2 linked regions of the Arabidopsis thaliana genome follow. The protein of the gene in region 2 interacts with the protein of the main gene of each other region in a pairwise test. Each region holds a gene or a part of one and is shown on either strand. Other genes may lie near its edges.

Region 1 (4,809 bases), on a different chromosome or scaffold from region 2:
AGAAGAGATCTTTTTAACCGGAAGATTCCTTAAACTCTCTTGAAAACACTCACTGTATAGACCATCACAAGGACATGGTAGGTCTAAACCAAATAAACCGAGGAACTTCGATGTTACATAAACGATAAACGATGCGCAAAGTAGCGAAAACGCAACGGAAAGATCGATAAACGCAGCCACTAAACCTTTAAATGTCCATGATTTTACCTCCTGGCAACGCATTTTATACCTGCAAGTATACAATAATCTACAGAAATTACTCAAAGTTTGAGAAATTGGTTAGAGAATCAAATTGTTATTTGAATCAATTACAAGCATATATCCAAATCTAAGACTAATTTGGTAAGTTAATCAATCAATCAATCAAATTATATATAAACACAATCGTTACCACAGAGAAAACTCAACGATGAATCAATCGTTAACACAGAGAAACTCCTTGCGATTTGATTAATTTTTAGTAAATTAGAGAATTGAAACTCACACGAAGAAGAAGAAGTTGAGAAATCTTGGGGAAGCAAGCACAACGTAAACGGCTCTTCCTCTGCCGTTTTTATTTTCTCTCTTTGTTCAAAAATCAAAACTTCTTTTTTAGTTTTCAAAACTTCAGTTGCAAATCACCGTACGAGTGAGCAGATACGCCGTCATTTTATCGCCGACCCCATCACTCTCTTCCTCTTGAGATTTTTTTTTTTTTCTTTGACATTTTATTTTACACACGTAATCAAATTTGTGCATTTACGCAAATGTGTGCCAACTAATTTGTAGACAAGATCCAATCTATAGCATGGAGATAAGTTATGAGTATTTAATGAGTATTTTTTATGTTATACAATTACATAAATTCTATATTTAGGTTTGTCCAAAAAAGAAAAAAGAAGGCAAGCTTAGAAAAAGTTGAAGCAAATACACAAACTAAAAGAGAGGCTACAGATTCAACAAATATATACATAGACGCTAAGACAAGTTTGATGACAGAGTTTAGAGTTAAATACAACATAGCAAAATTAAATAAGCTAAAATCTGGTCTCGCTCTCTCTCTCTCTCTTGCTAACTTCATCCAATGCTACTACTAGGCATAACCCATCCAGCATCATGACCAACAACCACACTATCTCCATTTCCAAACACTCCTCGTTGTCTCTTCTTCATCAACGCAGCTGATACCGGACTTCCTACAGTGCTGGAAGTCAGAGAGCTCTCTGCTGAACAGTTGTTCTTGTGCTCTATTGCTACTGCAAGCTCGGATAAGGATGGAATCATCATTTTGGTTGTGTCGAAGGTGCTTGTTGTTCCTTGGCACCCATTGGTGATGGAGGCCTTTATGGCTAGCTCTGAAAGCTCTTCTCTAGCTGCCTCTAACCCAGCAAATGCAACAGCTTGCTCCTCTATAGCCTTGCAAGCTTTCTCTAGAATTGATTGCAGGTACTTCCCTTGTGCCTCGATCCTTAACTGGAGTCGCCTTTGCACCTGCGTATACTAATGGATCTTATTAAATGTGGAACCAGGGCTCAAACATTAGTATATGCGGTTTCTATGGTTCTAACTTTCATGAAAAGATTTCCTAAGTAGTAACGTTCTGATAAGCTTTAAGGAAATTCAATGGAGGTTTCTATATAGTCTCTCATTAACCAAAGTCTCTCTGGTATTTGGTGAATTCGAAGAAGAAACTAACCTCTAGTTGCTCGTGTAGTCTTCTTTGGACTTCCATCTGGGCACGCAAAGCTTCAGTGACCTGGTAACTCCTGGCTCAAGACAAAAACAATGAGTGTTATAGACAGTGAATATAACACTTGGAATAAAGAGAACACTTGAAACCATACTCGTTCTGTTCTTGAGCAGCCAATCTTAAGGATGATGTTGAAGATGAACCAGTGTCCTGACTCTCCGCAACACAAGAAACTACAGAGATATAAGTTCACAAAGATATAAATGCACAACTGAATCCATAAAGATATAAATGGATTCTTAGCTAAAGATATAACTGAATACCATCCTTAGAGTTGTCAATTGATTCTTTACAAGATTGCCTCCCCAAGCGGAATTTCTACCGAGCAAAAAACCAGAGAACAACACAGTCAAAAAGCAATGAACTTTGTTTGTTATAAGTAGCCAAAGAAGCATAATTTGATATTGAAGGTAGTAGCATCAAAACCTGAAGATGAGATTTGAGATGGTAAAGAGTGAGACCCTTCACTCCCATTGTTCTCATTATAGTTTTAGGCGTTGCTTCTGACATCAAACCAAACACACAAAAAAACTAATCTTGTAAACAAATCTCAAGGCCAATAAAAAAAACCTAAAGAATGCCACAGTAATTCCTAAATTGTTCTAAGTGACATAAACCCAAGAAATCCATTCTATTTCAGGATGATTGACTTCCAAATCTGAAAGAAATTAGACCTAACTCGTTGTCAAATTCTTCGTACTAACTGAAGAACAACAGATTAAAAAAAAAAACACATTTCATTCTAAGATCCATAAATTTCTAAGAAGGGACACTTACTGTCGGGTCCGCCGAGCTGAGTGACGGCGTCAACGAATCTTTCATGGAGCTCAGAGGTCCAACGAAGGCGAGGCTTGGGGTCAGTGGTTAGGACCAGACAAGCGTCGATGGGAAGATTGGTTCCGTCAGAGTAGTCTCCCAAGCTGCCATCTAGAGGAAGCGAAGACCGAATCGCCGAGTACATTCTTCTTTGATCCCCACAAAGGAACAAACTTTTCTTCGTTTCTTTTATTTTCTCGGCTGTTTTCCCGGGAAAGTGAAAGAAAGTGTGAAGAAAGATATTGTGGATTTCTAAGACAGCGAAGAAACGAGTTGATAGATTGGACAAGACAACACTCGGATAGTATTTTGTGTTTATATTTGTGCATTATTGAATTTATTTAGATATTTTCAAAAAAAAAAAAAGAGAGAGCAGAATTTATGTTTTGGTTATTTGTACTCTTTGCATTGAAATTCCAAATAACATATATGTTTTGAAAAAGTAGTAAGATAAAATTTCTTTTAGTTATTATTTTCGTTTTTCAATAGCAGAATAAAACTTCAAGTTCTCTATCTTAAGATGGTGCTAACTGCTAAAATAAACCAAATGAAAAAAGAAAAAAATAGGGTCCTCAATTTTTTTTTAAATATCAAATCCTTTAAACCTACTAGACATTTTTCCAATTATTTTTCTTTTATATAATTCAAGAGAAAAAAAGTATTCTTTAGCTTTAGTTTTTTAATTTTTATATTACTATTGACAAAATTTGTTTATGTAATAGCAGTTTCCAAATTCAGCCACATAAAACATTAAGAAATCAGAAGCACATCAATCATTCATATGCATAAAGAGAGACTCTGTTTCTTGGCAACATAGAATCTTTATTTTGAGACACTTTCTCTTAATCTACAATTCATCAATTTTAAAGCCATAGATGCACGTATATATGTAATATGTACACATATATAAGCCCCTAAAAAAGGATGGGGTATGAAAGATAGTGATAGTTACTTAGCAATGGTAGTAGAAACAAAGGAGTGGTTCGTTTTGTTAAGTCATCGATGGTCTCCTTTGCTCATGATCAACTCCTGCATCAACTCCAACTTTTCCTCAAGAACAGTCATGTGACTATTCTTTCCTTCAGGATAATACTCTTTGCTCAAGTATATCGTCTAGTATCATATCATTGCTGAGAATTCAGCTTACCCGTAAGGTTTGGTCCATGATCTCCTTCTTTGAGCGAGAACCAGAGCTCGAACTTTGGAACACAGACTTAACCTTCCCAAAAGAGGCGAGTGAGCTACCAGGCTTTGGCTCTTACCAGTAATCTTTACAAGAGCAAGCACCTCCTTCAAAATGATGAAACCTATATGCATCCCTCACTATGATTTCTCGATTTGATACCTTAGATACAAACTTTATCCAAGCATGGCAATCGTTGCAAACACGTAGGTTCTTCATTACATTTATAGGCACTGTTGCAGGCAAGCTAAGGAGTCCAAATGAAATTGCTAATTTCTCGCTGTGGATGAAAATTATTGGATCTTTTTGCTCGTGCTGCAGTTCATTCAATAGGCTGAAACAGTCTTGCACATACCCGATTTCAGATGCTCGTTTGGTAAGATCTTGGAAGTATTCATGTATCTCATCTGCTAACGGGTGATTCTGGTCACCAACATAGAAAGAGTGAATTGAGTTTTTAACTTCAATCCAACTTTGTCCCGGTTCTTTCTTCACACCCTTTTCTTTCATCTTTTGTCTTGTAAGATCCCTAGCATCCCATTTCTTGGACACCGCATACAGATTTGACAGAAGAACATATGTTGCTGAGTCTTCAGGTTCTAACTCTAGGAGATGATGCGCTGCAAATTCTCCTATTTCCATGTTCTTGTGCACTACACAAGCACTCAAAAGTGTTCTCCAGACCAAGGCATCTGGCTTAATAGGCATTTCCTGAATGAACTCTTTCGCACGGCTCAAAAGACCAGCTCGAGTTAGCATATCCACTACACACACATAGTGTTCCGGTTTAGGAGATAATCCATATTCTGAATTCATGGATTCAAAGTATGCAATCCCCTTGTCCACTAGTCCTATGTGGCTACATGCTGATAGAACTCCCACAAGCGTCACATGATTAGGCCTTACATTAGAATGTATCATCTGGTCAAAAGAATCTAGTGCTTCAGAACCAAACCCATGTTTAGAATAAGCATTAATTATCGCATTCCACGAAACTTCATTTTTCGTGGAGACTTCAAGGAACTGCTTCTCTGCATCAGAAATGCTCCCACACTTGGCATACATAGAGATTAAAGCATTG
Region 2 (3,851 bases):
GAACACGGGTAAGAATTGATGCAGGGCATATAACCAGAAACTATTTGCCAATATTACCTATAACTGACAAAATAACATCATTCAAACAGGTGAGAACACATTTTGCAAGGCCCAACTGGAAGGAAGTCTTCAGTAGCATAGCAAGAAAGCATCCAAATTCGACAGTCGGTAATTATTCTATACAATCAGCTGCTTACCATCAAGACATCTTATAAATCTCTCTTCTAGGACTAACGAATTAATACCATTGGAAAAGAAAGAAAACTTGCAATAGGAATTATGACACATGCAAACACATGAACATGTCTGCTAATATTTAGGCCAGGTATTACGAAGCATATGTGAAAACAATTTATATAATTGTGCAGGAGTGTTTTACTGCGGCATACAAACCGTGGCAAAGGAGTTGAAGAAGCAAGCACAAGACATGAGTCAAAAAACAACCACACGGTTCGAGTTCCATAAGGAGCATTTCTAATTCAATGTTACAAGCCAGCTTCTATCACTTTCCCTAAAGTGAGATTCAAATCCAGCCCGCCATTATTTTTTTTCACACTAACTTCACAGTCACTTAGCAAAGTAGATTATATACACTATGTTAAAAAAGGAAACATTGTCTTGCCTGTTTGTATAGACCCCGCCTAAAGGCATGAAAATAACAAATCTAAGTTACTATACGAAATAATATACGTGTCTTTCCCAAGATGATTCAATCTCTCTTTCCATTACCACAAGCTACTAGTCACAAAGGCAGAGAAGCAAACAACAAATTTTCATTGATAAGGTGCCTCAGCACAGTATATTGGTACTAAAACACATTCAAGGATAAGAATAGAGTAATGCCTTTGTGCTAAGTGTACCAAAACTTGCAGTAGAAGACGAGGTTGGAGTTAATCATCCTTTATTCTTCTCAGTAATTTAGAAGCCCAGCGTCGAACCCGTCTCTTAAGTGTATAACCCACAAACACTCCAGCGACAAAGAAAACAGCGCACAACTTTGAACACGTCCAGACCGAAACTCCGCTGCCACCAAACACAGTCCCAAGATAGGTCAGATAATTTTCTTAAATTAGAACTAATAGTACACAAAACACGTAAAGCCATTACATATTAGTCGAATCAATCAGAAACAACCCAAAGCTCCTACTAGATAGTCTATAATCGACCTGCACAGTTTTGTTCCTCGGGTATCTAAGATCTTAGATCATTTGAACAAGCCATTACAAATTTACAAGCTCTGTGTGATGTGGAACTGGGAAATCATCATGGTCTCTAGGTTTTGAGCTATAACACAAAATCTGCCCTCTTTTTCATTTTTGTTCCATCTTTTTAAAATTTCTCTCAAGCAGGCAGACCAATTCATAATCCATCCACAGAAATAGTGATTATTATTATCATCCTTCCCATAATTAGAGAGAATCTGAAAAATTGGAGACATGCCCTCACTCACTCACCCAAAATTCTTAAAAGTTCTTAGCTTTACTGGCAAAATGATCTCTTTTCGAACAAATATTGAATAGAAGCAGCTTACCTGGGAGGTCTGGTTACCAGAGTGCCGGATCCTGCGTCGTATGTAGTAGTCAAGTTGCCGGCGGCGGCTCGTTTGTCTTGCATCAGATTATCCGCAAAATCAGATAGAGAAGACGACGAAGAAGAAGCTGCCGATTTCGCTTCTTTCACCATCTTGCTGTAAAACTTCTCCAAACCCTCCATTTCTGGCCGATCAATTAGGGTTTAGGGTTCAATGATGATTCCAGTCATGAAGGAAGCGATTGCTAAATTGACTTCTCGTTGACCAAAAGGACAAAATTGGAATTTCATAATTACTAGTTGAAAATAATCCTTGACCAAGGTCATACAATAATACAATATTATTATATAAAATATCATGTACTTTACACATACATTTATTTATTCATTAATTATACATCCATCACACAACAATTCGTAACAATTTCATTTTGTAATATATATTCAATTTAGTTTAAGCAGTCATATCTTCTTTTTCTTCTTGACCGAGTCGGTAATCTTGAGAACCATAAGGACTAAAAGCTTCAAGGAGGAAGTTGGATTTACGCCAAGGATTGAGTCCCATGTCGTTGCACATATCATCAGCATGTTGGATGCTGAACGTGGAAATGCAATGACGTTTGTAGAATCTGCTTGAGTTTCTCGTCACTTCCATTTCTTTTAAGAATTGATCCAACATCTTCTCTTTGCTTGGTAATCTGAATTTCTCATCCACTAGCCGGCTTAGCCACATTGAACGTAGCTCTGATGTGTGTAAGTTCGAGCTGCTTTGGACGTATCCTACGAAACCCATGTTTGGTATCAATGGATGGATTGTTCCCCTGTAAATGATTTAGTTTGTATAAGCAACGGTCCAAATTTCATGAGTATACTAATAAAAGAATATATAGGCTTCCACTTGTACCACTGAATATGTTTATAGTCATAGAACTATATATTATAGCATGATCGTCTTTTTAAGTGTGCAACTAATGCATTTTCACATAATTTCAATTAATCTAAAGACGATTTTTATGTGTATGTACCTGTATAAAGGCATGACACCGCTTGGAAACTCAAGCCAAGTTCGGAAAGGTTCAGGAACAATAGCTTTGAGCTTCTTCTTGCCATCATAACCAGTAGCAAGTATCACAACATCAGCTTCTAATGTCGTCCCATCTTCAAACACAATCCCTTCTTCATAAAACCACCATTTTGATGATTTCTTAAACCGGATCATCCCTTTATCCGCTTCCTCAAAGAAATTCTCCGGTATGATCGCCATTTGACAAGAAGCATAGTCTTCCTCGAAAGAATGGTTTGGTTTTAGACCATATTTCTCAAGAGGTAGCTTCCATAAAACATATGATTCGATGAACTTGGAAACTACGGCACGCTGTTGTCACATATATGTTAAGAAACTTATAAAATTCTCAAGATTTTTGCATATAGAGAAGTGAAAAAGGTAATAAGATGACTAACCAGAAGAGAGAAGAGGAGGCAAAAGAGAGTTCTAAGGAAGCTTTGGTTAGGCCTATCATGGAGGAACTGAGAAGCTCTCGAAGAGTAGAACAAGAAGAATGGTAAGCCCCACACCCAATAATGTGGGATCCCCCAATGAGTTGTTCTCACCACCATTGTGCAAGCTTTTCCTCCTTCCCCTGCAAAATTTAAATATTATATTTAATTATGGGAATCAGATTAAATAAAGATCGAAATCGGTCATCTTAGGATATATATTTAATATGTTGTTTAATTAACTTGCGAGTAACTGTTTAATTGTTGCCAACTAGAACCATATACGTTCCAAGTCCAACCGAAAAGAAATAATATATACTAGTAAGTAAGACAATTATTGCTATCACTATATAGTATATATATTTTATCTTTATTTTGACTTGATCAGCCAATTATTAAGAGTGAAGCTAATTTATATAAATAGACATAGATATCTATGTACCTTGATTAGCTAAAGCAGACTCTAAAGCCAAATCAATGGCGGATTTCTTGAAGCCGATGACGGCTACTTTTTTGCCACTGAGGAGAGTAGAAGCTTCTTCTTTCTCTAACTTGCAGTAATCCATCGAATGCATTACTTTTCCTTGAAACATCTCCGGCCCTTTCTTTGCCGGAAAAGCTGGTATTCTTGGAACGTCGCCGTATTTCCCGGTACACACAACCACGAACTCAAATGCATGCCACTGCACACAAAAACATTGATATACAATATTTCATAAATGATGCATGCAGTAATATGGCAGTTTGAGATCCGGCTTAGGCTTCAAAGTTACCGAAAAACAATCGAGACAAACATTGAGATACGTAAGTTTAAATATGCGTAT

What was found.
Region 1: the proteins of AT1G19240 (region 2) and UNE16 interact in a two-hybrid assay, tested with the Arabidopsis thaliana proteins (one large-scale study listed by BioGRID).

Annotation. Positions count from the first base shown.
Region 1 is NC_003075.7:7,935,808-7,940,616, forward strand, and holds UNE16 (Homeodomain-like superfamily protein), read right to left. Parts: upstream 2,839-4,809; 5' UTR 2,691-2,838; coding exon 2,507-2,690; intron 2,233-2,506; coding exon 2,156-2,232; intron 2,048-2,155; coding exon 1,993-2,047; intron 1,903-1,992; coding exon 1,824-1,902; intron 1,746-1,823; coding exon 1,676-1,745; intron 1,480-1,675; coding exon 1,057-1,479; 3' UTR 799-1,056; downstream 1-798. Other genes in the region: AT4G13630 (zein-binding protein (Protein of unknown function, DUF593)), read right to left, coding at 1-222; AT4G13650 (Pentatricopeptide repeat (PPR) superfamily protein), read right to left, coding at 3,804-4,809. UniProt on the Arabidopsis thaliana protein: Transcriptional activator. Probable component of the central regulatory system controlling transcriptional responses to Pi starvation. Binds in a sequence-specific manner to phosphate starvation-regulated promoters.
Region 2 is NC_003070.9:6,648,672-6,652,522, forward strand, and holds AT1G19240 (uncharacterized protein), read right to left. Parts: upstream 1,776-3,851; 5' UTR 1,714-1,775; coding exon 1,532-1,713; intron 1,024-1,531; coding exon 891-1,023; 3' UTR 572-890; downstream 1-571. Other genes in the region: AT1G19230 (Riboflavin synthase-like superfamily protein), read left to right, coding at 1-8, 90-168, 369-478; FMO1 (flavin-dependent monooxygenase 1), read right to left, coding at 1,985-2,351, 2,556-2,905, 2,992-3,170, 3,470-3,710.